4 linked regions of the Astyanax mexicanus genome follow. The protein of the gene in region 1 purifies or fractionates together with the protein of each later gene. This does not show direct contact. Links are inferred from orthologs where the notes say so. Each region holds a gene or a part of one and is shown in the gene's direction. Other genes may lie near its edges. The genes, in order: eed, aebp2, phf19 and phf1.

The links.
Region 2: the proteins of eed (region 1) and aebp2 purify together in Homo sapiens (affinity purification with mass spectrometry; 6 studies listed by BioGRID and IntAct, counting the BioPlex papers as one, with this or other methods). This does not show direct contact. The link is inferred for Astyanax mexicanus from reciprocal best matches to the Homo sapiens genes EED and AEBP2.
Region 3: the proteins of eed (region 1) and phf19 purify together in Homo sapiens (affinity purification with mass spectrometry; 8 studies listed by BioGRID and IntAct, counting the BioPlex papers as one, with this or other methods). This does not show direct contact. The link is inferred for Astyanax mexicanus from reciprocal best matches to the Homo sapiens genes EED and PHF19.
Region 4: the proteins of eed (region 1) and phf1 purify together in Homo sapiens (affinity purification with mass spectrometry; 8 studies listed by BioGRID and IntAct, with this or other methods). This does not show direct contact. The link is inferred for Astyanax mexicanus from reciprocal best matches to the Homo sapiens genes EED and PHF1.

The regions. Positions count from the first base shown.
Region 1 is NC_064428.1:19,807,830-19,815,116, reverse strand, and holds the start of eed (polycomb protein eed), read left to right. Parts: upstream 1-4,283; 5' UTR 4,284-4,358; coding exon 4,359-4,472; intron 4,473-7,287. UniProt on the Homo sapiens protein: Polycomb group (PcG) protein. Component of the PRC2/EED-EZH2 complex, which methylates 'Lys-9' and 'Lys-27' of histone H3, leading to transcriptional repression of the affected target gene.
Region 2 is NC_064409.1:30,153,698-30,161,289, reverse strand, and holds the start of aebp2 (zinc finger protein AEBP2), read left to right. Parts: upstream 1-4,588; 5' UTR 4,589-4,744; coding exon 4,745-5,223; intron 5,224-7,592. UniProt on the Homo sapiens protein: Acts as an accessory subunit for the core Polycomb repressive complex 2 (PRC2), which mediates histone H3K27 (H3K27me3) trimethylation on chromatin leading to transcriptional repression of the affected target gene.
Region 3 is NC_064419.1:1,743,928-1,751,501, reverse strand, and holds the start of phf19 (PHD finger protein 19), read left to right. Parts: upstream 1-4,569; 5' UTR 4,570-4,724; intron 4,725-7,391; 5' UTR 7,392-7,415; coding exon 7,416-7,574.
Region 4 is NC_064408.1:114,661,912-114,669,595, forward strand, and holds the start of phf1 (PHD finger protein 1), read left to right. Parts: upstream 1-4,683; 5' UTR 4,684-5,502; intron 5,503-7,684. UniProt on the Homo sapiens protein: Polycomb group (PcG) that specifically binds histone H3 trimethylated at 'Lys-36' (H3K36me3) and recruits the PRC2 complex. Involved in DNA damage response and is recruited at double-strand breaks (DSBs).

The DNA.
Region 1 (7,287 bases):
TGAAGACATGAATAAACTTTCTGGACCCATACATTTCCTTATACCATGTATGGTCACAGGAAGAAACAACCGGTGTACTGGTTTAACTGGAGGTGTGTTGTAACCATGTTCAGTTGTGCAAGCTGCAGTAGAAGGTAAATAGAGGTGTATTTTGGATGGATTGAGCACTTTTTCAAAAATGATACTTTCACTTGTGAAAGTGACTTCTATTTTTTCACTCAGTTTACTTTAAACATTCACATTAAGTGTTTGGGGTTTAATTTACCTCTGTTTTGTTAGTAACTGTACCTGTATTTTCTGTTACATGCTAGCATCTCTCAGTTAAAAGCATTAGCAGCCTGCTTAAAAGAAGATTAGCATAGCCGCTAACAATAATAAAGGCAGCTGAACAAAAGCAGCTCTACAAACTGCAGAGCTGTATCCAAATGCTGGGTTTTGGACATTGGTCGTTTTGCTGGGTTATTTCCACAATGCTGGGTATTTCTTGTGTAGTATTTGTGTAGCCCAACTTCCAGGTTAGCAGCTCAGATTTCAGCTGTTGTTGTGCTAATGATAGAATTCACAACGTATCAAATGTCAATTTGTACCTGAATATTAATTCATTTTAAAGTGGATGTTCATTTTATCTGTGTACTAGTTTAACAGAAGCTGGTAACTCTGATTAACTTACGCTGTACAACAGAGGTAACTCTTGGTCTTACTTTTTGGGATGGTCCTGATGAGTGCTAGTTTCATCATACTTTTTTCTTTACTTTGTTCAGTAGTTCTTGCCATAATAAGGATTAGAACATTGCTCAAATAGGGCTATTTACTGTATACCTGTAACTCTGTAACTGATGCTCTCAAACACATTAAGAGGCAATAAATTCAAGTAAGAACTCTTGACGAGTTCAGCACAGCTGTTAACTGAAGGCTGTTCCAGGTGACTAACTCATAAAGCTGACTGAGAAAATACTAAGATGTTCAAAACTGTCATCTAAGCAAGAGGTCCTACTTTAAATAATCTAAAATTCAAAACACATTCTTTTTTAACCCTTTTTGTTAAATAAATCATTTCATATCTTTTTTCCCTCATAATTTGGATACCTTTAGTATTAATTTACAATGTAGAACAATGTAAAATAATGAAAAAACATTGTGTGCATTTTTGAAAAATATGTTTTTTAGAACATTTATTTTTTATTTTTGCATAAATGTGGTTTAAACTAAAATCATAAAGCGCTAAAGTATGTGGTTTAAGCAGAGCAGTAGTCCAACATGATAGAATGAAACTGAACACACACACAAAAAAAAGAAATTAGGCCTACTTGCTGGAACTTTCCTGAACTATGAACTTGAGCAGAAGTGAAAGTATGATTAAAAACACAAGAACAGCAATTCATTAATAATTTATTTGCACACACATAACTGATTAAACAAATGTTGCTAATGTTGCACATCCAAAGATAAAGATTAATCTGTTAGGAGCTTAATCTCACAGAGTTCCTGATTCCCTTCCACAATGTAGGTCACGAAACTCTGGCTGTGACCGAAAAAAAAGATTTGTACTCACTAATTAGTACTGCGCAATATTAGGAGGAACTATTTAGTTTCTAGTTTAAGTACTAATTGTGTTTAAAGTCAGTAAGTAAAAGTATTGAACGTGTTAAAATAATCTTGACTGTTATGTTACTTAGAAATATAAGCCTCCAATTCATGAACTAGGTACTACACGGGACAATATGTGAAATTAATGGTCCAGTGACTCGTAATTAGGTTATCACTGGCTTAATTATCTCCAGTTCTTTCCATTGTCTGTTGCTTAGTAATGAGACTCACAATGCATTTTGGTCCACAGTCACCTCATAAAGTAAGCTATGCTGTTTACTATAAAAGACATTGTGGAATATTTGGTCACACAAATAGAACAGTATATAGAGGCTCTTTAACTGTCCTGCAGAGCTCAGCTACTGTCCTGCGGAACTCTTTAACTGTTAAAAAGCTCCGCGAGACAGTAGCTGAGCTCCACGGGACAGTAGGTGAGTGTCGCAAAACAGCAGCAACAGGACAGGGAAAGTTTTTGCTCGTACTGCCTCTCCCTATTAGGCTACAGAAGGGTGTGTAGTGTCGTTAAAGTATGCAGGATGGAGAAAAATAAATCCAACCAATTTGAAAGAATAGGAAAAAAATCAAATCGTGACCCCAAGAATCGATTCTGAATCAAATTGTGGGATTTCCATAGATTCACAGCCCTAATGATTTAACATAATATATGTATTATATGTGTTAAACTTTACTTACATTAAATATGTATATCTTGTTGATATTCTATTCTTATAATCTGTACTGTAGTCTTATAATAATTAAACAAATTAACAAACAAACAAATTAATTTACTTTTTTAATCCTGCTGCAAAGTATTATATTCATAAAGAAAAATTCTTAAAGGATACACCCAAATTGACAATATTTTTACCTGAGGTAGAATATATCATAAAAAGTCTTAGAATTATTAATAACATAAAAAATACTACATTTCGAAAAAGCTATGGTGGAGTTTTTAACAAACAAATAAAAAGACAAAAATGGAAGCATTGTGTGTGTATATTGAATAGTTATTTTCTCTTAATATTATTATTGGTATTATTTTTATTTGTTCAAGATAATTGATATGTTTTAGAGTCTAGAGATTTAATTAAAAAATATATAATGCTCATCTGATTTTGTACTTGTCTTTTATACTGTGGAAAAAAGACAGAGAGAATCTTTTACTAATGTACTCTGAATGCAGAAATATGCAGAGAAGTGAAACATCTCATTTTTTGGCCTTATTTATTTCTTTATTATTTTATTGTACTTTGTAAAAGTTAGTTCTAACTTCATTTTAACTGTTTCTTTTGTTGTATTAATCTTATCTTCTTTTGATCTTAGTTTCTTATGAATTAAACAAAGTTTTAGTATTGTTTTTTATTCTTATTTTATTTTTATCTATTTTAGTTTTATTCACTGTTATTTTGAAATGATTACATGTACATATTATTTTCTTTGCCATGTCATTCCCTGTTTTTGTAAATGCTTTGCTATTCTGAAAGTAAGGTTGCCTTTAATGTACTTCCGAGTCAAAATAAAGCTTGATTGATTGATTGCTTTTGTGCAGTTTTCATATTTAATTTTACTGTAGTAACTTTTATACATGTTGTTGTCATGTTCCTCCTCAACATGTTTCATTAAAAAATGCTCTTAAATTCACTTTGCATGCATATATGTTTAAATGGGTTTTTGAAGGCTATTTTTCTCAAATAAATTTGTTTTGTATTCTATAAAAGTGGGTGAGAAAAAGTGGGTCCCTGGTTGAGACCTGTTGAGAAGCCCTGCTTTAAATCAGGGAGGGATGCATTCAAATCCTACCTGTGTAGGACGAGTGTGGACGTGAGTGATCGACCTACAATAGCTAGCTTAGTGCCCTACCTAGGGAGTATAAATCCACTATTTGAGACGTGCCCTACACGTACGGTGAGTGTGCCAGGTCCTCTTGCAGCGTTCGGCTGGTGATCTGTCTCAGGGCTCCCCCTGCTGTTCGGGACGCGCTAACACGCCCGGTGTTCTGTCGAGTTGCGCTACCCGTCGATGCGTGCTACTTAGCGGCTCTGCGCATGCGTGAATTCTCATTTATTTATTTATTTTTGACTATTTTCACGTGTTTTACAATCTGAGATCACTGAATTTTATATATTATTTTGTATTAAATTTGAAAATATAATAAAAAATAAATATAAAACGACTTCTTATACCCTATATTGCCCTAACGAACTCTAGTACAGCAAATTTAGGCTATTTTTTAGGCTATCCAAATATCACACCGAGACTTCTACAGCGGGCATTTTCTTTTCTTTTTTTGTAAAATTAAATCGCACAATTTTTTATGCTACCTTCACAAACCGTGCTACCCTTGTAGTATATTTATTAAATGCAAAATAAGCACCATATTAGAGCATATTCTCAGTGCAAGTCTATGTAAATTTTTGGAGAGCATAAATCACTGTATCATTGCACAGTTTTGTAGTAGTGAGAGGTCATTACAAAATATTTTTTTATAGTTATTATTGTATTTATTGTTATTATTATATATTTTTATTTGATGACAGTGAGTCCATGTTGTTTAATGTACAAAAAATATTTCCTATATATATAAAAAAGCGAGAAATAATTGATAGCTGTAGGTCAGCGCATGCGCAGTGCCTTTAGGAAGCACGTTTCGACGCGTAGCGCAACTCGACAGAGCACCGTTCTTCGGTCTGCAGTAGCGGAGCTCCTCTCCACGCCGCTTTGTGGCAGCGCAGCGTGGCCGCCGGGTTTTTCTTCAGCAGAGGAAGAAGAAGATGAGGGGGAAGATGTCTGAAGCTCCTGCCGAGGCGGGAAACGACATGCCGGCAAAAAAGCAGAAACTAAGCAGCGACGAGAACAGCAACCCGGACCTTTCCGGAGACGAGAACGTAAGAGAAGATCCCGCGGCGGCGGGTTCTAGTTATATATATGTTAGCGGGAGCTCCGGGGATCCGGGGCCGCGGCTCGCTCTCTCTCTCCGCCTCTACTGATGCTCTGTTTACCGGAGCTGCAAGTTTCCCTCGCTGGTTAAAATAACTTACCTCTGATGTGTTTAATTTTATCGAGCCTGGGGCGGACTGGTGTAAAATTGTCCTTTTTTAACCCTTTTCTGTGTTTCTATAGGCTTTGTTTTCTGTGAGACTCACTTTAGCGAGGTTAGCGGAGCTAGCTTCCAGTTTTGTTGTTCAGGTTAGCTGCTGGCTAACTCGCTGAATTCAGTGTAATAAAATAGCTGGGCTAGCTTAGCTTGGGTAGTTTCACTAGTTAATTTAGCCCTTTTAGACCTGAATTAAGATCCAGTGATGAAAACATAAGAATGCTATGTGCCTGTGATGAACACAAAAAAAAAATCTAATATGAACTTTCTGTAAAAAAGTCTATTAACTAAAATATTAGTTAAAGAGAACGGTATTACGTACACTTCAGTATTCCGTACAGTTGAGCATTTAAACAATAAAATACTTAATAATAAACTATTGTTATGTTTGAAATATAGTCTGGGGTCATTGTCAATCCTTCCTCTTTCCATTAAAACAGGTCAGTGACCATCCACGTTGTGTTTTCTCTTGAAATTCCGCTAGGTAGGGAGGAAAGGTCCGCGTCGCCGAAAACGGGTGGGTGGGGAAGGGTTAACAACGTTGAGGCTAGGGGGTGGGGAAAACTTTATCGACTAGTTTTTAACATCACATTTCACCCAAAATGCAACGTTAAACATCCAACTAACAGCATCCGTTGTAATATTTGATTGAGGAATTAATAATCATAGTTTATAACTTACTTTAAAAACGAGCTTACTCCAGCTCCACATCACCACTCACAGACAGCTGAGATTTTGTGCTGCAGCTTCAGCACATTTTTTTTTTCAATTCATAGACAACTTATCAAATCCATTTGACAAACACTTTACTAAGCTTCTACGTCAGTCTAAGCTCATATGTTATAGGTCATAGGTCGGCAATAGGCGGCTCGCGGGCCAGATGCGGCCCGCAAGCAAGAAACATCTGGCCCGTGAGGTTGAACTATAATGAAAAAAAAAATCGGACTGTCCGTCTCAAAAATGCTCTTTATTTAGAAACTTAATTTTCCAAAACAGAAAAATTTATTAAAGATTTTTTGATAGAGCCACGGGCTGTTAGATAACTGCTAGCTCCTTTATTCTGTTATTTTTTTTTTTATTCGTTTGGTTTTTTTTTTTGTTTAACAAACAGGTATATCATTAATAGCGCCCCCAATGGTCAGTCCACAGATTTCACCCACATCAGCCCACTTGAATGTCGTCTGCTTGTCATTTTAACCTCTTACTGCAGAAGCGCCCTCTAGCGGGCCCGCCGGCGGGCCCGTTCTGACTATGTAAATTAGAACGCTTAAAAGCGTCAAATATTCTAAACATACCGACCAAATAACCGACTCATATTCTTTAGTACTACTTTAACTACCTGCATGCAAATTTACAGCCATCTACATGAAACCAGTCGCCAGAAATCGCCAACTGAAAACAGCCTGTTTTTTCACATTGTTTACACGAGAAACACGCCTCCCCAACAAAATAGCCTTATAAAATAATATTAGTGTATAAAATAACATCATATTATATTATTGAAAATTCACTTACTATCACAGCATCCACAATACAGCACTGAACCGCAGGTAAAATATCCATAAAGTCCTTTATTTGCCTGCTCACGGCTCCTCAAAAACATGCGTTTAGTTTCAGCGCAGCCGTAACGTCGTATTCTCAAGCTCCCAGCGACTACACAATGGAATATTTTCCGTAAAGTTGTACGTGAATACAAAGCTAAGGGTGTCCTCTTCTAGATTCAGTGGTTTTTATTGGTCTACAATCCACTACTTTTCTTGAGTGATCGTCTTTTGAACCAATGGCGTGAGCGCTGGATCGCGCTGGTGTTCAGGGCTGTCCAATCAAATCAGATCATAGGCTTTTTCCAGCGTCACAAAAGTGATTGACACCTATTTCAACCAATAGTCCACCCTTAGACGAAAACACTGATACGTAATTTGCCCTGATTGGTCTCCGAATGGCTGGGGGAGGGGCATGCCAAACCGTCACCAAGTCACAAAAAAAACACCCCTCTCCAAACGCTAAAACACACAGCGCACACAGCGCGCAAACATGTGATTTTATGTGTCATTTCATCAAAAAAATATTAATATTACCCTGAGATGGACTCACATTAATTTATTTTATCACAAAGAAACAAAAAAATATTAAAATGTTGTTTTATAGAGACAGATTCACCTCTGTATCAGACTGGGGCGCTCTGGAGAGGTTTTTAAGCCTTTGGTGACGCCTGGTGGACACCTTATATATAATGCAGTATAAATTCCCATGCTGTTAAAATAATGTTTTCAAATTTTGTACTTTGTTTGACAAGACCCTAATAAACCAGGAAATGTAGAGAATGATTAGCTAATCATCACCAACATCCATACACACACTATAAACTCAAAATATAATAGGCGCTTTTTGTTTTTTTTACATTTTCCTCTGCATTTAATGTTCTCAAATAGATCCTAAATAATGAAAATTACCTCTTGAAAGTGAATTACTGTTTTGTCCCAAGTGTCTACTTCAGTTTAAGCCCTGACTGGTCATTGTGCTATATGTAAAACTTAAGATATCCAGTGTGATAGCATAGTAGTGCAAATCGCATGAAAATGAGCAAAAACATGGATCAGCAGTGA
Region 2 (7,592 bases), on another chromosome or scaffold:
ATTGGCTCCGGTTCGCTGAGGGGGGTGAGGCTTGGGTGGCTGAAGAGAGGTCTGAAATCCGTTGTAAGCTTCCGTTTTTCCGTGCAGAAAGTTGCCCTGGGAAATAGCCACGTTCAGGGTCATCTCTTGTTCTCTAAAACCATGCTCCGTCTGCACGTCCTCCCGCAATCCCCTCTATAACACGTTTTTTTCAGAGCTGGTTCAGTCCTTCCACTATCTGCGGCAAGAGTGTGGAAGTCAAGGGTGTAACTTGTTGCAGAATAGGTGCCTTGTTTAAGCTCACACATTTGCAAACCCAGCTCTTTACCGGCTGCAGGGTGTGGTCAAACACAGCTTTAAACTGAGCAAAAAACAAAGCTTTAGAGCGTAAATGTCACTGTTGGCCGACCATAGGGCAGTAGCCCATTCCTTAGCTTTACACGTAAGCAGTGTTGTGATTACCTTTTAGCGTGTATTGCAATAAAAAGTTGCATGCACCAGGAGAGCCATCATAGTGTTTGGGAACGGCGATAAAGTTGGAGGAGGATGGTTTAGCTGTTAGTACAACATCAGCTGTTTGTACAGCAGCCTGTTCTGGTACACTGCAGCTGGTTCCACTACATGCTGTGGCAAACTCTAAACAAGCTGGGCCAACACCTCCAGTTTTTGCATTCTAATGAATATATTTTTAAATAATATAGGACAACAATGCAAAAAAAAGAGAAAACTCCTCTTCAGTTTTTTCTTATTTTGTTGAGGTCTGGGGACTGAGATGGCCAAGAGCTTGATGTTGTGCCTTGTGAACCATTTTTGAGTAGAATTGGCCACATGTTTAGGGTCATTATCTTGTTGAAAGACCCAGTGACGACCCATCTTCAGCTTTTGGGCAGAGGACACCAGATTCTGATTCAAAATATCCTGATACTTTATGATCTCATGTATCCTTACAAGGTCCCCAGGTCCTTTAGAGGAGGAACAGGCCCACAGCATCACCCGTCCTCCCCCATACTTAACAGTGGACATAAAGTGTTTTCCTGCATAATCAACCTTAGTGTTACTCCAGACCCATTTTGAGTGTTTGTTACCAGAAAGCGCTATCTTGGTTTCATCTGACCAAAGCAGACTGTACCAGTTAAAATCCCACTATAGCTTGGTAAACAACAGCTTGTTTTACGCTTATGATTATAACTCAAAAAGGCTTTCTCTGTGCTGCTTCCCTTCCAAACAGCTTGTTGGCATGTAAAAGGCGCCTGATGGTTGTTTGGAAGACCTCTTAACACTACATGCTACCATTTGATTCAATTCTCTTACAGTGAATGTGGATCAGGGCATCTGCAGATGAGTGGCTATTTTCTTGTAGCCATTGACTGCTTTATGAAGGTCAACACACATCTATACACTTGAATGTTATGTTCTCATGTCTTTCCCATGTTTCAGATGAGTAGGAGAAATAGACCTTTTTGTAATACTGTATTTACACCCCAGGGAAACACAAAGTGATTATTTACCAATTAAAGGTTCCTACACACTTTGATTCACTTTATAAACTACAGTAGAAATGACATAATTTGTTTAAATACATTTCATTCCAAAAAATTGTTATGGGATGCCAATAATTGTGTCACAGGTTTTTTTTTTATTCACTTGAGTTAAAGGTTGCTTTTTTATTTTTTCCGTGAGATTATGCTTTTGCAATAAAAATGACATTTATTTTAAGGCTTTTAACACATTTTAACTAGGTATGCTAATAATTATGGAGGGCGCTGTAAAGTGAACTTTTCCCAGTAGCTCATTGCCTCATCATGGCTGGGCTGATCTTCAGGATTTTCTAACATGCTTTTACCTATCTAGGGGTATTTATAACAAATAAGTTTGACAAACTGATTAAATACAACTTATTCAAACTTTTTTACATACTAAACAAGACCTGAACATTGGACATTACTACCCCTATGATTAGCAGGGTGCATCAATGTAATGAAAATGAATATACTCCTTAGATTTCTATATATTTTACAATGCATCACAATTTTTAATTACTAAATCTTATTTTATTAACCTTGACAATACTATTTACAAATTTGTTTAAAATAAGAAGGTCCTGAGGCTTCGGAAGTCAACTCTACAAAAACCTAAACTCTTAGGGGGTATGGCACTGGCCAACATTATTTTTTACTATTGGGCTGCTAATTTTCAACTTACTGTTTATTGGTTGCATTTAGATAAGCTAGCCTCTGTGTCTGCCTGGTTATACCATGAATCTGCTTCCCTAGCTCCCACCTCATTAGCTTTTTTTCTAATTTTCTTAGTACAGCCACATAAACCAAGTTGCAATAATATTATTGTCAGGTCTACAGTTCAGGCGTCATTTTGGTATACAGTCGCTCCCACTATTAACTCCACTTTGTGCGAACCCACTATTTCCTCACTCGCTGCAAGATAGAGTCTTTAAGATTTGGCAGGACCACAGATATATTTAACTGCAATTTCTAATCCAAACAAGCAACAATTTATAAAGGAAAATCACAAAAATGATCAGGGGTGCCCAATTTAAATTTTGTAGCGTTTCTGACGCTTTAGCGAGGCAGCTTATTCTGTTACATTTGAAGAAAAAAAAAAACATACCCCCCTTCCTACACACACTGGGTAAAAGATGCACTACACTTTATAAAACTAGAAAAAATTAACCACACCCTAAAAGGATAGTGAATAGGGTCCCTTTTTAAAACATTTAGATGTTTTGGAACATTATCCTTCTTTAAGAATTAAATTATTTCCACTGTAAAATGGAAATGATAGTCATGGGACGCTGCACATCTTGGTAGAAACATACCCTGATAAACAGCATTAATCATACAGGTCAACCATCCTGGTTATACTGACAGACAAGCTAGACCATGAAACTCAATTTACATTATGTGCTGTGCTAGTCAAGAGATACACAAGCAGACATTATTTGAGTTATTGGCGTAGCTGGTCTGTGAGTATGACCAAGGTGGTTAGCAAGTATGATTAGTATGATATACTGGCACAACTAAATAAAAAACAACCATCTATTTCTCTAATTAAACACACTAACGCTAATACCACTGGTCTCAGCTACACTGGTGAAGTGTGCTACAGTGTTTAAAGCTTGGTTGTGTAGTAACACTGTCCTGCCTGTTTTAGTAGTTTTTTGCTGTATCACACCAAGCTCAACTGCTACGTGAACACAGTTCACAAAATACAATCTGTATTTAAAAACAAGACTGTGATTATCTTACATTGATTATTATATTTCCCTTTATTAAAAGTTTCAGTGTTAAGAAGGAGAAATCAAAATCAGATTATAAGATTAATTTCAGCAAACTGCGATTAATTAGTTAATTTTAATCGTTTGATATTCATGACACAAACACACTATAGATCTGTAACGATCTGTATCACTTATGTCATTTTCAGCTGGATTTAACTTCTCGCTTTACATTTTGGCCAGTCAATTTAAATTGCAGAAATAAAATATAGGCTCGTTTCTTTGTTTTTTGGTTTAAACACATGAAAAAAAATAGGAATTCAGTCCTACTTTATGTTTCTGCTTTATGTCTACAAAACGAACATATGGTTAATTATTTTGATCGCGAATCATGGGCGGGCTTTAAGCACTCTTCATACCCCATTGGTCAGCCTGAGTGATCACGTGCTCTCTCGTTGTTCGGGAAAAAAAGTCCCAGTAAAATCTCGGGCAGGAGAAGTAATACACGCGAAGCAATATATCTCATATTTTCTCCAAATCCAGTCAAATAAATTTAGGTTGTAGACTCTGACTGAGGACTGTATATGTACTCCACAATCTGAGGAAAAGCTAAGTTTACATGCACGCTGATAGTAATCCGGTCTAAACAGACGAGCAATAGTATCACAAAGTGTACACCGTGACAACGAGTATTACAGCTCTGTGTGGAGTGTTTGTTCTTTTGGTTGCACGAGCCAGACACCAGTCTTATCGCTGATGACACAAAATATATATATATACAAGTGCTGTAAGATGAGAGTCATACCATTAATACCAGTACAATAAGTTACAGGTAACAAGTGAAACACGCATTAATTCGACCGAATTGGAGAAAATATCAGATATATTGCTGCACGTATGTTACTCCTGCCGCCCGAGAGTTTTACTGGGACTTTTACCTATACAACGCTTCTGAGAGCACGTGATCACTCATACTGACCAATGAGGTAGGAAGAGCGCTTTAAGCCCGCCCATGATTCGCCATCAAAATAATGAACCATATGTTAGTTTTGAAGACATAGGGGAAAGTCGGACTGAACTACAGTTTCTGTTTTAGTGTGTTTACAACAAACAAAAAACGATGAAACGAGTCTTTTGTCACTTCTTCTATTTTCTATTTAGTTCAAGAATCAACCTATCAAAATGTACACGGACTGCGGCAAGTATTTTATTAGTTCGTATTCCAATTTTATACGTAAAATCAGTGATCGGATAATTTATTTTTTTCATTTCTGAAACGGATGTTAACCTAATGGTTAAAACTACACATGCCCGTTTTCCCATAACAGGCCCGTTCTGTTTGAAGTAGTCCAAACACGTGGAGTCAGTAAGAGCGACGTCATCTCTTGGCCCCGCCCCGCACGTCCCTGCTCAACCTCTCTCTCGGGCTGTGTGCTCGTAGCTTTGCTGAGGAGAACAAATGCTCACGGTTTGACTCGCTCGGCTCTTCTCAAACTTACTTAGACGCCCCCAAGATACTTCCCACCGTCGAGGATGGCTTCCGCCGCGACCACCGACGCCAACGAACAAGACTCCGCCAAAGCCGGCGATCAGAACGGCGAGGAGAGCGGCGAGGGCCTGCTGCGCGCTCCCGATCAGGAACCGGGTGAGGGCGAGAGCGTTAAAATGGACGAGAACTGCGAGCTCGACGGAGCGACAGGCAAAGAAGAAGCCCTGGCCGAGGCTAGCGAGTCCGCGGAGAGCCCGTCGAGCGGTGAGGCTGAAGCGGAGGAGCTGAAGAAATGCCCCGAGCAGAAGAGCTCAGAGAGCGGGGAGAACTCGGCGGCCGTGCCGGGGGAGCTAAAGCAAGAACAAAGAGAGGAGGAGAGCGTGTCCTCGCCGGCCGAGTGCCCCAGCAGTAAAGGTGAAGAGTGTCCGGACAAAACCGGCAGCGGGATAAAGAGGAGAGCCAGCGTGGAGATGTCCTCCTCCTCCGATGGAGAACCCCTGAGCCGGATGGACTCTGAGGACAGGTTAGTAACTCTATTATCGAGGATCATGAACAGAGTGCCTGAGGTACAACAGCAGAGTCCGCCTACTGCCTCCACCTACAGCTGCAGCTACAGCCCCACTGCCCGTAACTGTGGAAAAACAATGCGTGCTGGTACAGCTATGTGTGCTGCAGTGATAATATAAGACCTGTTATACTGTTATAAACAGACCTAGGGGCTTCATTACGTCTCTACTCTTTTATCGTAAAATCACAGCAGCAGCACTCAGTCAGAACTCAATTTATATGAGTAAAATCTCAAATGATAGATCTCACTAATGCAGTTTTATCACTAATTTTAATTTCAGAATTAGAATATCAGATATACAGATCTATACATCCCTTCGGACTCGTCATATTTCCATATCCCTAATGTAATTCTGTCTATTATTCTCATGGAATTAAATCACGGGTGGTACGTGTAGTCCTATATAACTATACTGTAACTGTGTGTAGTAAACAGTCCAGCTCCACACATTTTTAAACTTCTACAGTTGGAGTTTTTACAAGTAATGATACGGTTACTGATATTACAGTGAATTACTGTGTTGGCCTGTCATAATTATGATAATTAGTTGATTAGATTTATCGTACAGTATATGGACATGGCCTAATTTAGAATATCTAAACATATTAAGATTTACAATTGTACATGTTCTAAAAAATTACAGTCTGGATATCTATAATTATAATGAGATTTGTTGAATATTCTCATTTTTGCTCACATGGGTGTAATGTGGTCTGGATTCATCATTGCACTTCACCTTAATCCCATGGCCCTAAATTGTCCTTAGCTATGTAGTGTATAACCCAGATGGGACCTAGTTAAAACCCCTTTTGGTCACATCACTGGCCCGTCGTAATGAACACTGGTATTGTTCAGAAATGCCCAGTGGAACGGTAACCTTTGTAATATAGCAAATACACAGTTCAGTTTTTGATCCATTGGCTTCCACTGAATTTAGATTAAAACAAGAATAAATACGTAAAAATTCATCAGGTGTTTTTAGCTCTTGATCTCTTTAATTGTTTTTGTCTACGTTTGTGCACTTTACTAATAGTATCCAACATATGTCATTTGTCACATCAGTATACTTTAATAACACATTTTGATATCTATAAAGATAAGACTTTATACATTATTCTCACATGTCTTACCTTTAGGAAAGTTTTGAACACAAGATACATGAACAAACCATTACTCATGAAACTTCTTTAACTTCACAAGCTTCTCATGCAACGCTCTATTCAGAAAGTACTGTGCTCCTAAACATTTAACATCATACTGTCTCTTAGGCCCCACATTAGACCTTTGTCCTAGTGCATATAATGTTTAAGCTCAACTGACAATATTGTGTTTTAGTACCTTGTGATAGTGTTTTGCATTTCATACAATATGAAAGTTTGTATATATAAATGTTTGACTGTAATTTGATAAAGGTATACGTTCCTCCAGAGGTAGAGGTAGAAATTGAGAAAGCTCTTGATAGAAGGTATCCTTGTACAACAGTACGAGAGTTTGCCAGAGAACACCTAGTCCAAAAATATGCTTTGGACAGATGACTTTTGCCTTGTTTCTTTTTTTAACATAACTGTAAACCTTAAAGCTTCTCTAATATGTTTATGAGCATATAAGCAATCTCTATATTAATCAATGCACTATATATGAAAAAGGGGATGATCTCATAATCATAGCTTTTAATTAATTAATTTTTTTATTAGGCTGACAGTAACAAAGCAATTAAAAATGTACCCTCATAAGAATGCTTCCATGGTCTTTAGTCATGGTCTGCTTAGACATTTAATAAACAAGTTTTGCCCTAATTTCTAAATGAAATATTTGTATCTGAAATTGGCTTAAATGCATTTAATGTACAATTGTATTTCTGACCATTTTCATTGGCTTCAGTTTCAGCATAATATCAACATAGCATACTGTATAGCATAATTCTTCTCATTTTACATCAGATTTAACAGCTCCTGTTAAGCAGCGCAGCTGACTGAAAATCCCCTTGTACTCAGCAGTAGCCTTTGAAGGTGTTAGCAATAATACTAATTGTTTATTAATTTTTGATTTTTGAAAACAAATTAATAGTGCTGGTTAGAAAGGGTAAGTTCCTTTTATCATTTTCTATTATGATAAATATGTAGAATTATTGCCCAGCCTTAGGTATAATTATGTAACTGTGCTGCTGTCATCAGTGGATGTTTTTAAACTATAAATAGTATATAGTATATAATTATCAAATTACCCAGTGTTGACCTTTTTGGTCACCTGAGAAAGTGCTCCACATATATAGATGAGACCTTTTGTTGGCTTGCATGTGTGATAGTATCGGTAAGCAGGCACCT
Region 3 (7,574 bases), on another chromosome or scaffold:
AATAGCTCAGCTATTTTGAGGCAGTCTTAAAATAGTTAATTGCCTTTACTATAATAAGGTACGGGTATATATATGTTTTTTTTATACATATATTTTTTATATCTTTAATATTTATTTTTTTATGAAACTGAATGTACATTTGATGCCAAAAACATGCAAAAAAAAAGTGATTGTAGCAAATGACACACATTTTCAACACATTTTCAATAACAAATAAAATCTGATGAATAAATGGCACGCTCTAAAATGTGATTTTGTGTTTTAAACAGGAGAACTACAGTAATATTATAATATTTTAATACAAATCAATAAAATGATTTTAGAGAACTTAAACCTGAAAACTTAAAAATGCTTATTGAACCACTTTTGAACTTTTAGTATATTAAACGTTTCAATGCTCTTTTTTACAGTGTTGTTTTATACAGCCTTCCCATAGGCTCCTGGCTCCTCCATATATTTGCATATTGGGTGTGGCCTTTTCCTTACTTACCATCTTTGTGTTGTCTGTTGCTCAAAGCTGCCTTATCCTAGTTGTGCATTAGTAATGCAGTAAAGTAAGTGTTGATTGCCAGGCCTCGGTGTTTTAGGCTGTATAATAGTTTATTTATCTACATTTTTTAAGCCCAAAATACTTGAAGAAAAAAACAGTTGAGTTTACAGAACTGTTGTTGTGTGAATGAAACTTAAGTTAAGTTAAATAAACTTAAAATTGTATATATTTACAACTTAACTGAGTCAAAGCTAAATGACTAAATGAATAACTTGACTAAGTTAAGTTGAGCCAATGAATATTTTTTTACAGTGCAGCATTTGACTCAATAATGCACAAAAAAAAAATAATATTACAGCTTGGTTTGGCTCCTGCGCTTTCGCAGATCTCCACAAAGCGGACTTTATCTGTAAACAGGCACTGATTGGATCGTTCCAAGAACTCCTACTCACATTGTCTCTATAACATAAAGCCTCCAGCATTGAATTGTGGAGCAGAGGACTTTTAATTAACAGTTTTCTCTAATATGTTGGTTTTCCATTCAACACTTCTTTCAACGTGTTAGTTGTACAATACCTGTGTTGAATTTTTCCTCATATTAGTCTGTGACTCACTCTGGCCTAGTTTTTTCAATGCAATTTAAATTAAATAATGCAAAATGTGCCATAAAGAGAAACAAAGACCCAAGACCCCCTTTATTTGGTGAAAAGTAGGACTTGTTTCCAGAAAAATGCCTGAAAAATACTTTGTAATAAAGAGAGGTGTACTAAGTATTGTTTTATTTTTACTTAAAGATCTCCTTCTGCTAAAATCCACTTTTTCTTGTTCTTGTTTGTGAAATACTTTAGGTCTCTCTGAGTTGTTTATGATGCTGCATATGAAACATATGTTTCTCAGGCTCCCTTGTCTGCAGTAGCTAAGAAAAATAAAATCCTTAAGAATATAGAAAAAATATAATTATTAATAAAAAAAAAATAAAATAAGATTTTAGTTACTTTCATATATGAAACACTCCTCTAACGTGACTTCTGTTCATTTGTAGTTTACAGTAACACTACAGAAAGACCACAAATTAACTTTGTACATATATTAAAAGGTATGTTTCTGTATAGTGTTATAAATTCGTGCTCCATGTGCCCCCTTTTGACTTTCAGCACCTGCCCCTCCAAAGGTCTCTGCACGGCCCTGCGTATCAATGTTTCGTTCACATTACACACAGAAACAGATCACTTACATTTGTAAATGTGAACCAACAAGATAGATAAATCCAATCTGAGCAAAAAAATCAGTTTTGAGCAGAGGTGGAAAGTAACTAATTAGATTTACTCACATTACTGTAATTGAGTAGATTTTATGAGTAATTTGTAATTTTTTGTTATAGTTTTGAAAATAGGTAATTTTACTTTTACTCAAGTACATTTTGACACAAGTAATTTATTTTGCTACATTGGAAAATTCCCCATTACTGAGTAAATAATAAAAAGCTGGGAAAAAAACAAATCGTCTGAATTAAAAAAAAATTTTTTAAAGAGTTTTGTTCTCCATGGTAGCGCAGCTAAACGTCTCCATGCAGTGTTTATTTTGGTTAGCGGGAGAGATGCTGTGTAAATCAGCTGGGGTCTGTGTGCGTGACTCGGGGGAACCGGTGTTCTGTCGAGTTATGCTACCCATCCATATGTGCTTCTTTACGGCACTGCGCATGCACCGACCAAAGTTTTTCATAATAATTCCTTATGTTTTTATTAGAACCATTAAAAATTCTGCTTGGATGTTAAAAAAAAACGTGTAAAATAGCAGTTAAAGCATATGAATGGCAAGTTAAAAAATAATAATTACCTGTACAACTATAAAAATACAGTTTATAGTCACCTATATGACCATAACCTTTTAACTTTTTAACAGTAAAAAAAATGGATCATAGAAACCTGTGCCACTTGTTCTTGAATATGTTTTATGGGATGGTCTAAACAAATACTGCCCAAATTATTTCATTTAATAATTATTTAATTTATGATTTGTACTTTTTTACATCAAATAAATAAAAGTAACTATGTAACTTTTACTCAAAGTAAATTTTAAATTGAGTACTTTTTTACTTTTACTCAAGTAGATTTTTAGATGGGTACTTTTACTTTTACTTGAGTACAATTTTAGCAAAGTAAAGGTACTTTTACTTAATTACAATTATTCAGTACTTTTCCACCTCTGGTTTTGAGCAATGTGGCTTGTAATGTGAACTTTGCTGCAGTTGTGAGCCAGCATGAAGTTACACTTCATAGTGAGAAAATCAATTATTTTGTGTAATATTTACAATATAACCCATCAATCTTCTTTTTTACAGTGTGTAAAGCAGAATAATAATGTGGAAAGTTGATAAATATTCAAGAGAAAGGAAAAGGTGAATCCTGACACACGCTGCAGCTTATGGCCACGAAGACTTAACAACTAGACCTGCTATTTTTCACGTCCACTTTGGCCTATTGCCTGATGTTGCTGAGTAAACAAGAAAATGACCACAAATGACTAAATGGGATTGGTCAGTGTGACCTGGCAGAAAGGGCAGACTGGTTCTGCCCTCATTCTCAGTAATGTCACCCAAATGTCTCCCAGCAGGGGAAGGATTTGAGTTTATTGCTCAGTAATGACGGATTCTGCAGATACCCTACAAACTCAACACATGATCGAGCTGCACTGAAAGCTGTAAAATGTGTTATAATGAGTTAATAACATAGATATAAGTCACTGAAAAAGTTAACAGCTGTGTCTTTTTATTTAAAGTCTAATAAAAATGTATTATTTCCACACTGAAAAACATGAAAAACACATGTTGACACAACTCAGTTAAGGCGTCATCTTGCTTTTTCTCAGTTAAGTTAGATAGTCACTCGTTATTTTACACATTGTGGGCTTTAAAGAACTTACATACAATATTTATATGTATGTATATGTAGCTAAACTCTGTTCTTTTAAAGTAATAAAATATATAATTTATTTTATTTTATTTCTTAACCTTTAAAAATACTTTTAATGACTTTTATTGTGTTAATTTTCGCCTCTGTAGCGCCCTCTCAGGTTTAACTGTGCTATAGGTGAGGATGATGTTTCCGTGTACTTTGGTATGCAGACGCATCACAATGATTTGCAAATTAGTCGATTAATAATAATCAATAATACCAATACTTTAAAATGACCTGAAATAAACTCTTTTTACATTGATTTCCATTGAAAGTTTTGAAGGATTTTTCTCTCTTTTGTAAAGTTGCTGTTTTGAAAATACTTGTTTTTCATTGGACAGCGACGATATTTATGCTAAATAAAACAGTTTGTCTATTTTGTAGACAGTAACTTACCAATACATTGATTTTGTATAAAAACAGCAAACGAAAATAAAGTTATTTAACAACAAACATCCTACACCAAAATTAAAAGTGCAGGATATTTTTGAGCTTGTATTAGCTAGTAATTCTGTTCAAATGTGAAATTAAAATATTGTATTCATGTATTACACATAGAGTTTTCTGTTTTAAGTGTTTATTATATCTTTTATTGTTGCTTATTATTATTAAGCTTATTATAAAGCTTTTGACAGAGTGGGCAGTGTGCCAAGTCCTGCTGGAAAATGAAGTCCGCATCTCCATAAAAGTTCTCAGCAGATGGAAGCATGATGCTCTTCAAAAAAAAAGCAGTGTGTAAGACTGGTGGAGGAGAACATGATGCCAAGATGCATTAAAAAAAAGTCAGGGTTATTCCACTAAGTATTGATTTCTGAACAAAATTAATAATAATGAATAATATATAAAAAATATATTTTTTATTTTTTTATTTTTATTTTTTGGAATTTGGGAGAAACCTATAAATAGCAAAATCAGAGAAACTGATTCAGAAACTGAAGTGCTCTCTTGATTTTTCGCAGAGCTGCATATTTATATATATATATATATATATATATATATATATATATATATATATATATATATATATATATGTGTATAAATATATACTGTAGTATGTGGAAGGGGAGGGGCTGCTGCTGCTGCTGATGGTGCTGAGCTTGAAACCTAAATGATTCGCGGGAAAAGGTGAAAAAATGGCGACTTGCAGAGGCTCGGTTTAAGCGGAGCAGAGCAGCTCAGGACTGAAAAACTCACTTTATTCCGCGAATGGAAGCGCTTACAGCGGGCTAAACACTCCGGGAACAACTTCCACCCTCCTGAGGAGAGGAGAAATCAGCACGGTAATGAAGGAAAAGAGCGAGAAACTCGTTTATTTACTCTAAACACACACTGTTTAATAACTTACAGCCTGATAACTTACTGTAACTGTTACACTAACTCACTACTGTATTCAACGCTGTTTATCCTAACTTTTATACTTTAGATAAACCCATACCTGTGTCTTTAGTGTAGTTAGAGGCGCGTTTTCTCTTTTATTAATGTTTAAAATGAGTGTTAGCGCGTTTTCCAGCGTTATTATTCAGTTATTCACAGCTAAAGGTAGATTTGAACCAGGGAGGGAAAATCAGTTTAGCTGCTTTAGCTCTAAATATCGTTTTTACGGGAAATACACACTTATCTAAGCGTTTTTGAGCTTTATTAGCTCGCTAAGTTTATTTTTTAGTGTGTTTTTAGTATGTCAGTTAGTTAGAAAGTGCAAGCTGGAGTTTATTAAGTTAGTAGATTTGTCAGTGGTCCTGAAAGTGAAAATCCGCTCCGGGATTTCGTTCCAACTGCCGGGGCAGCGCCGCTCCAGTTCCAGTTGGAACGAAATCCCGGAGCGGATTTTCACTTTCAGGACCCGGATGACTCCTTAACCTCTATTTATCACTATTCATAAAAAATACATCTCTGGAAAAAATAAAGAGAATCTTCAATTTCTGTATTAGTTTCTCTAATTTTGCTTTTTATAGATATATATTTGACTAAAACGATCATTGTTGTTTTATTCTATAAACTAAAAACAATATTTCTCCCAAATTCCAAATATATTCCAAAAATATCATATCATTTAGAGCATTTATTTGCAGAAAATGAGAAATGGCTGAAATAACAAAAAAGATGTTCATAGAAGTTCATATTGATAAGAATTTTATTTTTAAAAAATAACCCTGTTTTTTAATCACAGTTTTTTTTCATGAATCTTGGCATCACGTTTTCCTCCACCAGTCTTACACACTGATTTTGGATAACTGTATGCTTTACACTCCTGGTGCAAAGATTCAAGCAGGGAGTGTGATTGCAGTTCAACAGTTGGTTCAAAGGGTGGTTCTGTGGTATTATCAATGGTCAGAAACGTTTGGATAAATGTTGGAATGTAAATACATGTGAGTAGCAGAGCTGTGTCCAGAAACGTTTGACTGAATGATGTAGATGCATACAGATACAGTTGGGTAATAGAGCTGTGTGTAAAACGTTTGGGTAAATGTTGGAATGCATGTATAAGTGGGGAATAAAAACGTTTGGATAAATGTTAGAGTCCAAAAACATTTGCAGAAATGTTGGAATGCAAACAGAGTTGTGTCCAGAAACATTTGGTTAAATGGGGAAATGCAAATACATATCGGTTTGAGTCCCAAACATTTGGCTAAATGTTGGAATGCTAAAACATTTAGACAGTTTAGCTGTTTTAACAAATCTTTGGCTATTTCTTAAGGTTTGAAAATTAGGCTAAATGTTGAAATGCAAATGCATTCGGCTAATAGACCTGTGTCCAAAATGTTTGGAAAAATGTTGGAATAATATCTGGGGTTAGCAGAGGGCTACAGGTCGATATACTTCGAAAAGAGCTAGTGTTTAGCGTGTTTAGCCGCTAATGCTAATACTGCTGGAGAACTAAACTGAAACTCCTGTATAACGCTGCATTTTCCTGCTACTTAATAGCTTACTAGTATTTAATAATATATGTAGATTTTTATTTTTTTATTGGTTCATAAAGTATAAAGCTATACTGTTATTTCTTTGATTGTGCAGATTTTATTATAATATATAATTAGTTTTGGTTTAGAGACAAAGTTTACAGACAAATGTCAATGCATTCCTATTGGAGTGCTTTGTTTGGTGTGCTTACTGTATGATTACTGTCATATAATACATATATAATATATAAGAATAATAGTAAGAATAATTAAACTGGGGTTGGTGTGGTACAGTGGATAACACCACTGCCCACCAGTGAGCTACCATGTGGGAGATTGGGGTTCAATTCCAGGTCTGGGTGACTGAATGCTGCGCTACGCCAATAATAATAATATATTAGTCCTTGGGCTAGACTCCTAACACTACGTTGGCCAAACTCTATAATAGGAAAACCACTTTAAAAAAGAGTGTCAGCTACATACCATAAATGTACATGTAATAGTAATGCTATAGTAAAGTGTATAACTGCATAAGGACATTAGTGTGATTGTCCACTGTTCCACCAAGAGTTAACGTTAGCCGACGTCGTTACTACTCTGCGTCTTCGCTGCTTTTGGTTTCACTCATTTCTTGGCGGATTCTGAGTCATCCAACAGTCCCTGCAGCTCCACAGAGCAGGTACTTTTTCTTTCAGCCCTTTCTTTACTTGCAAAGTGAATCAAAACTGACAGAGTGGACCGTTTGTGGCTGAATTTACATTTGTGGTTTAGAGAACAGCACTTCCTTTTGGTACCCCGTTTATATGTAGGCCTGATGGGTTAGCTAACAAAAGTTGCAGAGTAGGTAAATCTGATGCTTCAGCTCATATATGCACCTCAGAAACTTCTGCAGAAACATCTCTGCTGACATAAAACAGCTGATGTATTTGTGTTAGAGAAGATAAATGTGCTGTATCAGCAGAATTCTGATTAAATCTGAATAAATGTGAATGATGCTGACCCCCTGGACCAGAGCTGTAGTCTAATGTTCTGCCGGTTCTGTCTCCTCAGGGACTGTAGGCGTGTGAGGTAAGTATGTTGGAGGGAGCCTACCGGGACAGCTACCTGGCTGTGGGTCCGGACGAGCTAGACGCCAAACGGCTGCTGCCCAAACTTGAGACAGTTTGCAGTGATCTCGAGAGCAAGCTCACCGTCGGGCAGTACGTCCTCTGCCGTTGGTCTGACGGCCTCTAT
Region 4 (7,684 bases), on another chromosome or scaffold:
AAAACTAAAGCTTAGAAACTGGGAACTACACATACAGCTCTGGAAAAAATAAGAGACCACTTAAAATGATGAGTTTCTTTGATTTTACCAAATTGAAAACCTCTAATCAAGAGGAAGATGGATGATCACAAGCCATCAAACCAAACTGAACTGCTTGACTTTTTTTTGTAGCAGGAGTGAGTAGCATAAAGTTATCCAAAAGCAGTGTGTAAAACTTTATGAGTATGAACTTGTTTTCTTTGCTTTCTTTGAGGTCTGAAAGCTCTGCATCTTTTTTGTTATTTCAGCCATTTCTTATTTTCTGCAAATAAATGCTCTAAATAACAATATTTTTATTTGGAATTTGGGAGAAATGTTGTCTGTAAAGACCACTAAGACACCACTTAAAAATGATGAGTTTCTTTGATTTTACCAAATTGAAAACCTCTGGAATATAATCAAGAGGAAGATGGATGATCACAAGCCATCAAACCTGCTTGAAAGTTATCCAAAAGCAGTGTGTAAGACTGGTGGAGGAGAACATGCCAAGATACATGAAAACTGTGATTAGAAACCAGGGTTATTCCACCACATATTGATTTCTGAACTCTTAAAACTTTATGAACATGAACTTGTTTTCTTTGCATTATTTGAGGTCTGAAAGCTCTGCATCTTTTTTTTTTTTGTTATTTTAGCCATTTCTCATTTTCTGCATACAAATACTCTAAAGATTTTTTTTTTATTTAGGATTTGGGAGAAATGTTGTCTGTACTTTATAGAATAAAACAACAATGTTCATTTTACTCAAACATTTACCTATAAATAGTAAAATATGAAAAACTGACCAGTATTATACCTTTGAGGGTACAATTCAGAAAAGTGTACCTTTAAATACAAGAAAGTACTTATATCATACCTCTGTTTTTTAGTGTGCATGTGTGACAGTGCTGACATATTTTCTTGTCTTTTTGGCTTTCAGTTCACCACACACACACTCACATACCGCCATTTAATCCCTTCATGACTCAACATCTGGGCGCTCCTGGTCTAACAGGAAAGTAATCTAAACTGAAAGTAACAAGCATCTCTAAGTAACTGTTTACCAAATTACCAGTTGACAGATCAAAGCAATGCATGAAAATAGCTGCTGGATTGACTGTGTTACTGTATGCAAGGTGAAATTCTCTCTTTCCTGTCTCTCCTTTTGAGCAGGCGTTCTGTGCTTGCCCTCTGGTGTGCTATCAAGGAACTGACACTTCTGCTTTCCAAAGACCTGCCAGAGGCCATTTTGAACACAACATGAATAGCAGAACTGCAAAACAATTGTGTGTGCTTTACCACATACTTAAAGCTTTGAAATGGTGGCAGCGTTTGATCGCTGAATACAATCAACCACTCAAACCATGCAGCCCGCATGACTCTGACAGCCTGTATAAGCTGGGACTATATATATAAATATATATATATATATATATATATATATATATATATATATATATATATATATATATATAGAGAGAGAGAGAGAGAGAGAGAGAGAGAGAGAGAGAGAGAGAATGTGGCAGTATTAACTAGATCCATGTATTTACATAAATTAGCATTGGGTCCATCATAAGTAGGATAATTTGAATTTTTCAACGAGTTTGTTTGTCTTGTTTTTGAAGACTAACCTACAGCTGACTATAATATATATATACTATAATATATTATATACGAAACTGAACATAGTACTATATGTTAAATACACTACACACTGTACTGTACTATAAGCAAAGTGTATTTTATAGATAGTGTGCTATGTTCACGGCTACTTCTTACTGCCATAATTAGGAGTAGTTTTAATTGGCTTGTTAGATGAATTCCCTCAATTGGGCTAATAATACTAATACTAATAAAAAATTGTGCTACTGGTAAATTTCTCTGACTTTACAGACAACATTCCTTCCAAATTCCAAATAATAATATTGTAATTTAGTGCATTCATTTGCAGAAAATGAAAAATGGCTGAAATAACCAAAAAGATGCAGAACTTTCAGACCATAAGTACTGCAAATAAAACAAGTTCATTCATAAAGTTTTAAGAGTTCAGAAATCAATATTTGTTGAAATAACCCTGGTTATTAATCTCAGTTTTCATGCATCTTGACATGTTGTTTTTGGAAAAAACTGAAAAACAGGTACAGTATAAATTCCGGACTGTAATGTTTTTTGTGCGATAAACAATATTATTGTCATTTTTAGGAGAATTTACACCTTTTTAAAGACAACATATCTGTATCTAATCATAGTTTGGAAAAAATATTTTTTTTCGCACCTGTAGTCACAGTTATTGAAGCATTGTTCAGTTATTGAAGCATGCCAGTCTAAAATACTGTTCACTGTTACAGTTTATATGTAAAAAAAAACATACAATTAAACAGGATATGCAATATCACAATTATCAAATATTATTGAGGAACAGTAAGTCAAAAATATAACGATCACAACTGGCCTAGTCATGCATGTCAATGTCAAGTGAAAGTATCAGTTAGCCTTAATGTGCTTTTAATATTAAAATACATTTTTATCTATTTTAATATTATTACCTTTAAATAATATTAAAGTAAATAACTATATTTAGGCATATCGAGTATTTGTATTTAATGTATTCAAGAGTATAGCTAATTTGTGTTATTATCTAGGTAAAATGTAACTGTTGGCCAATATAGACTGTGCTAGTTAGCTTGCTAGCTAAGTTTATTAGCTACTACTTTCACTTTTAATGGGTCTGTGAGAGGAACTCACACTTTTGTGCTAAATTACTACTAGCAAACATTTACATATCATTGCTGTCCAATAAAAAACAAGTGCCTTTAAAATAGCAACTTTACACAACAGAAAAAAACTTCTAAACTTTCAATGAAAGTTAATGTAAAAAGAGTTAATTTCAGGTCAATTTGAAGTATTTCTGTTGATCTGTTCATCAAGAAATTTTGGCACAATGTAAAAGACCATTTGTCTGTTAAAATAATTTTTTTAGCTAAAAATCAACAAAAATGTAGATACTTGTTTTTCATTGGACAGCGACTATATGTAGCATAGTAATATGTAATAATTTAATTCTGAGCATCTTTGAAAAGTTTCCCCTCTCTGATTAGTACAGTGCTAACAGCAATTAGCACAGTTAGCTGTTAGCACTGGTTTACTTAAATAGCTACAAATACTTCAGCCTTAAACACTTTTAAACAAATCTACATGTATAACATATTAACTAGTAAGTAGCTAACACATTCATTATAAATGTGTTTTATAAATTTTGGAGAAAAAAAAAAATAACAATGCACTAAGAAACAAACTAGCTAGCTAACCAGTATATTTAGTCTTGATATATTGAAACAGATTGACTGACACAGTTTAACTTAGAAATTAGCACAAAATACTGTCAGTACTAAACATATTTACATATTAACATAGTAGCTAGTATGTAACATGTAACAGCACAGAAACATTAAAGGATTTATTTATTTACAATTACACTTATGTAGCACATTTCACAATTACATTCCACACACACTGTGAGAAGCGGCAGCCAATCACGCACAGCCTACTCTCAACCGGAAACAACCATCCACCTGGAGGACTGCATCAGGCATCTGAGTTGACCCAGATCCATATCTAGGCATACATTCAAACACCAGGTACATTTTTTTAGAGTATCCAATTTTCTGGGCAATTTAGATATTTAATTTACCTCATCTCCCTGTTTTTGTGGACTGTGGGAGGAAACCAGAGTCCCTGGAGACCCAGATAGGGACTTGAACCCAAGATCCCAGGAAATAACAAAGCCACTGTGCTTCCCCTTATTTCAGGGGTTGGCAATAGGTGGCCTACGGGCAAGATGTGCTCGCAATATAAAAAATATATCTGGCCCGTGAGGTTGTTTGAACTATAATGAATGTTAATGAAAAAAATAAATTAAATAAAATGCTTCTCAGGCTAGCTTTTGTTTACAACCCTCCCCTACCTCTCTCTGGCGTGCTCAGTTCCCGCCTGTTCTTGGGCTACTTATGAGGGTGTTTTTTCTCCGGCCGTGTCCCAATTCACTAGCCGGGGCAGCGGTACTGTTTCAGACTGCGACCCTGATGACACGGGTTCGTTCCCGCGTAAGGAGTGGTGTGTTTATTTATTTATTTTTTCCTTTCTTCTTGGGTTTACCTGCTTTGAGATCAACTGTTCTGCTGCAATTGGGTTCAACAACCCTCTGGGCTGGAGAGCTACTAGTTTTTAGCGCTTCACCTCATTACTCACTTAATTTTCCAAAACAGATTTTTTTATGGGATACAAAAATATCTTACTTATTAATATACACTTAATTGCCGACCCCTGATCTATTTAAAGACTTAAATCTACTTGTAATACAATTTCCCTAAGAAAATGAACTAAAGACAGTCCAGCAGGCTCGACTGCAGGTTTATGAAAGTGGGCAGTCCCAATTTTAAGGAGGGGATGTTTTAAGGGGAAGGGTTACACTGGAAAACAAGGGGAAGGGGTACCAATTAGAAATGGGATTGGACCTTTAAAGTGTTGAGTGGACGGAGGGAAGGAGAGAAGGAGAGAAGGAGGGGGGCGGTTGAAAACTTTTCTCTCTCCGGCCAGTAGCCTGTGATACACACACACATACACACACACACACTCTCTCTCTCACACTCACACACACTCACACACACACGCACACACACGAGGTGTTGCGTCAACACAGGCTGTCTGTCGGTCACCGTGGGCTTACAGATGTGTGTGAAGGTGTGCGCGCACACACACTCACACACACACACACACACCCCTCCTCAGCAGCCAGAGCAGCAGCAACCCGCCTTATCTCTCCCTCCCACTCGACTGCTCTGTGTTTTATGTCTGCGTCACAACAAGTCGAGAGAGAGACAGAGAGAGAGAGACAGAGAGAGAGGAAGAGAGAGAGAGATGATGATGATGGTGATGATGGTGATGATGATGGCGTCTCTGTCGGCTCAAGCCTCCCTGACAGGCACGTTTTAACAACAGCGGCGAAGGAGAAGAGGAGGAGCAGAGGAGGAGAAGAGGAGGAGGACAGAGAGAGTGAGAGAGAGAAGAGGAGAGGAGGAGAGAGGGAGATGAGAACATGACGGAGCGGCGTGGCACGAGACAGACGGACTGACGGACAGACTCAACACTGACGACTTGACTGACACACACACACTGATATACACACATACACAAACACACTCATATATACACACACATACAGAGAGAGAGAGAAAGAGAAAAAAGAGAGAGAGAAAAAGAGAGGAGAGCACTCTCTCTCTCTCTCTCTTTCTGCTTCACACACACACTCATACACACACACACACACACACACACTCTCTGAAAGCACATCCACAAGAAGAGGAACAAGAAGAAGAAGAAAAAGAAGCAAAGACAAGCAAAAACAGCTCGAGGTCGGACATATTTTCATGTCAAGCACCGACAGCAGTCTCTGTGACCCCAGCAGAGAAGAGTACCACTTCACAGGTAAAGCCAGCATCCTTCTTTCTTTCCTTCCTTCCTTCCCTCCTTCCTTTCTCTCCTCTTTACAATCTGTTTCTCCATCCCCATCATCATGTGTCTAGAACCGGCAACAAGAGTAGCATCAGCAGCATCAGCACCAGCAGCAGCAGCAAATCCATCCCACCCCCCCACTTCTAACCCCCCCCAACCCCATCAACCACCCCCCCGCCCCCTCAACCCTCTCTCTCCCCACCACCTCCATAACTCATAATTCTTCCTTTTCTTCATCTTCAGCCTTATTCCTCCCAAACACAACATCACGCCACCTTTCCTAATGTGCATTCGTGCATTCGAGCTGCTGTTTGCTGTTGCGTAAGGAAGGAAACCCACAGATCCGGTTGTGGATCCAGTACAACAACAGAAAGCAAGCAGCTCCCTCGGAGCTAAAGCCTCAGTCTCTCATCATTCACAGCCCTGTACATTTACACTGTCGCTATGCACTGAGTGTGAGTTTAACCCTTTAGGTGGGAGAGTGCCCTGCATGCTCCTGAGGCCCTCGGGGCTTTCTCCTGCACTTTAAACTCCACCGGTGGAGTCAATGAGGGTGCAAAAAGCAGGGCATGGTTGAAAAAGTGAGGAAAAGTGCTCTATTGGCTGGACTTTGCAAAAGGAAAAAGTGATCAAGCGCCCACTAAAGCTGCTGAGGTGCCACTTCTCGCAGTTCATTATATGATTATGTATCTTTTAGAAGAGGAATATTTGATTATAGTACATTTATATGTCTCAATTAGTGCCTAACTATGAGTGGACTTCTGCTTTCCTGCTGTTATGCAGTGTCTTCTGTTTCTATGCCACCCCCTTGGGTGCCCATTCCAGCAGAGAAAATGGGATGCGTTGCTTTACGATGTTTCCCTACAGGTAAAACTCAATGAGAAATCACAGTGAAGTGTCCAGTTAGGTGCTTAAGCCGCAAGACAGTGTATTAAATGGGATGCAGTGCCAGAAAGGGTGTCCTAACATGTGTGAGAGTGTTGGAAAGTTTACTAATGAAAGTCTCTTTAATAGAGAATATGTGATGTGATGTTCGTATAGAATAGGTGCCCTCTCATTAGGATCAACAGTGTTTGATTAAAAAAAAAAAATGAATGATGTTTAAAAAAAAAAAAGGTAAACCTGCATTTATTCATTCTATTTAAGTTTTTTATGTTTTAGCCAAACCCCATCTAGAATGTACACATGATGTCAGATGGGACTTAATTCCAGTAGGATTTTGTGTGTGAAATAAAGTGGTAATAAAGTAGGTTTGAGAGCCTAATAATATAATGCTAATATTACTCAAGAATAAGGACTATTTTATCACACAGGGTGTCCCAGCATGTGTGTGAGAGTGTTGGAAAGTTTTCTAATGGAAGTCTCTTTAGTAAAGAATATCATCACTGTCCAATAAAAAACAAGTATCTCCATTGTTGTTGATTTTAAGGCTATTATTTAATTTGAACACAAAAACTTTTTTACACTGTATCAAAATTTCTTGATGAATGGACCAATAAAAAGTCTCTAAAATGAAAAAATAAAAATAAAATAAACTCTTTTTCCATTAACTTCCAATAAAAGTTAAGAAAGGTTTTGTCTCTCTCCTGTAAAGTTGCTAAAGTTGTTTTGGAGATACTGGTTTTTCATTGGACAGCGACGATATGTAATGTGATGTCCCTAAAGAATAGATGCTCTCTTATTAAGATTAACTGTATTTGCTAGAAAATGTATTAATAATGTTTAAAAAACAAGTTTTTTTTATGTTTTAGCCACACCCCCTCTAGAATGTACACATGATGTCAGATGGGACTTAATTCCACTAGGATCTTGTGTGTGAGGAGGTAATAAAGTAGGTTTGAGAGCCTCATAATATAATGTTAATCTTAATCAAGAATAAGGACTACTTTATCACACAGGGTGTCCCAGCGTGTATGTGAAAGTGTTGAAAAGTTTCTTCAGTGAAGAATATTGTCACTGTCCATTAAAAAACAAGTATCTCAGTTACTTTGAAAACAAAAACTGTCTTTTACACTGTATCAAAATTTCTTGACGAATGGACCAATAAAAAGTTTCTAAAATGACTTAAAAGTAAAGAAGGTTTTATCCCTCTACTGTAAAGTTGCTGTTTTGGAGATACTGGTTTTTAATTGGGCAGTGATGATATGTGATGTGA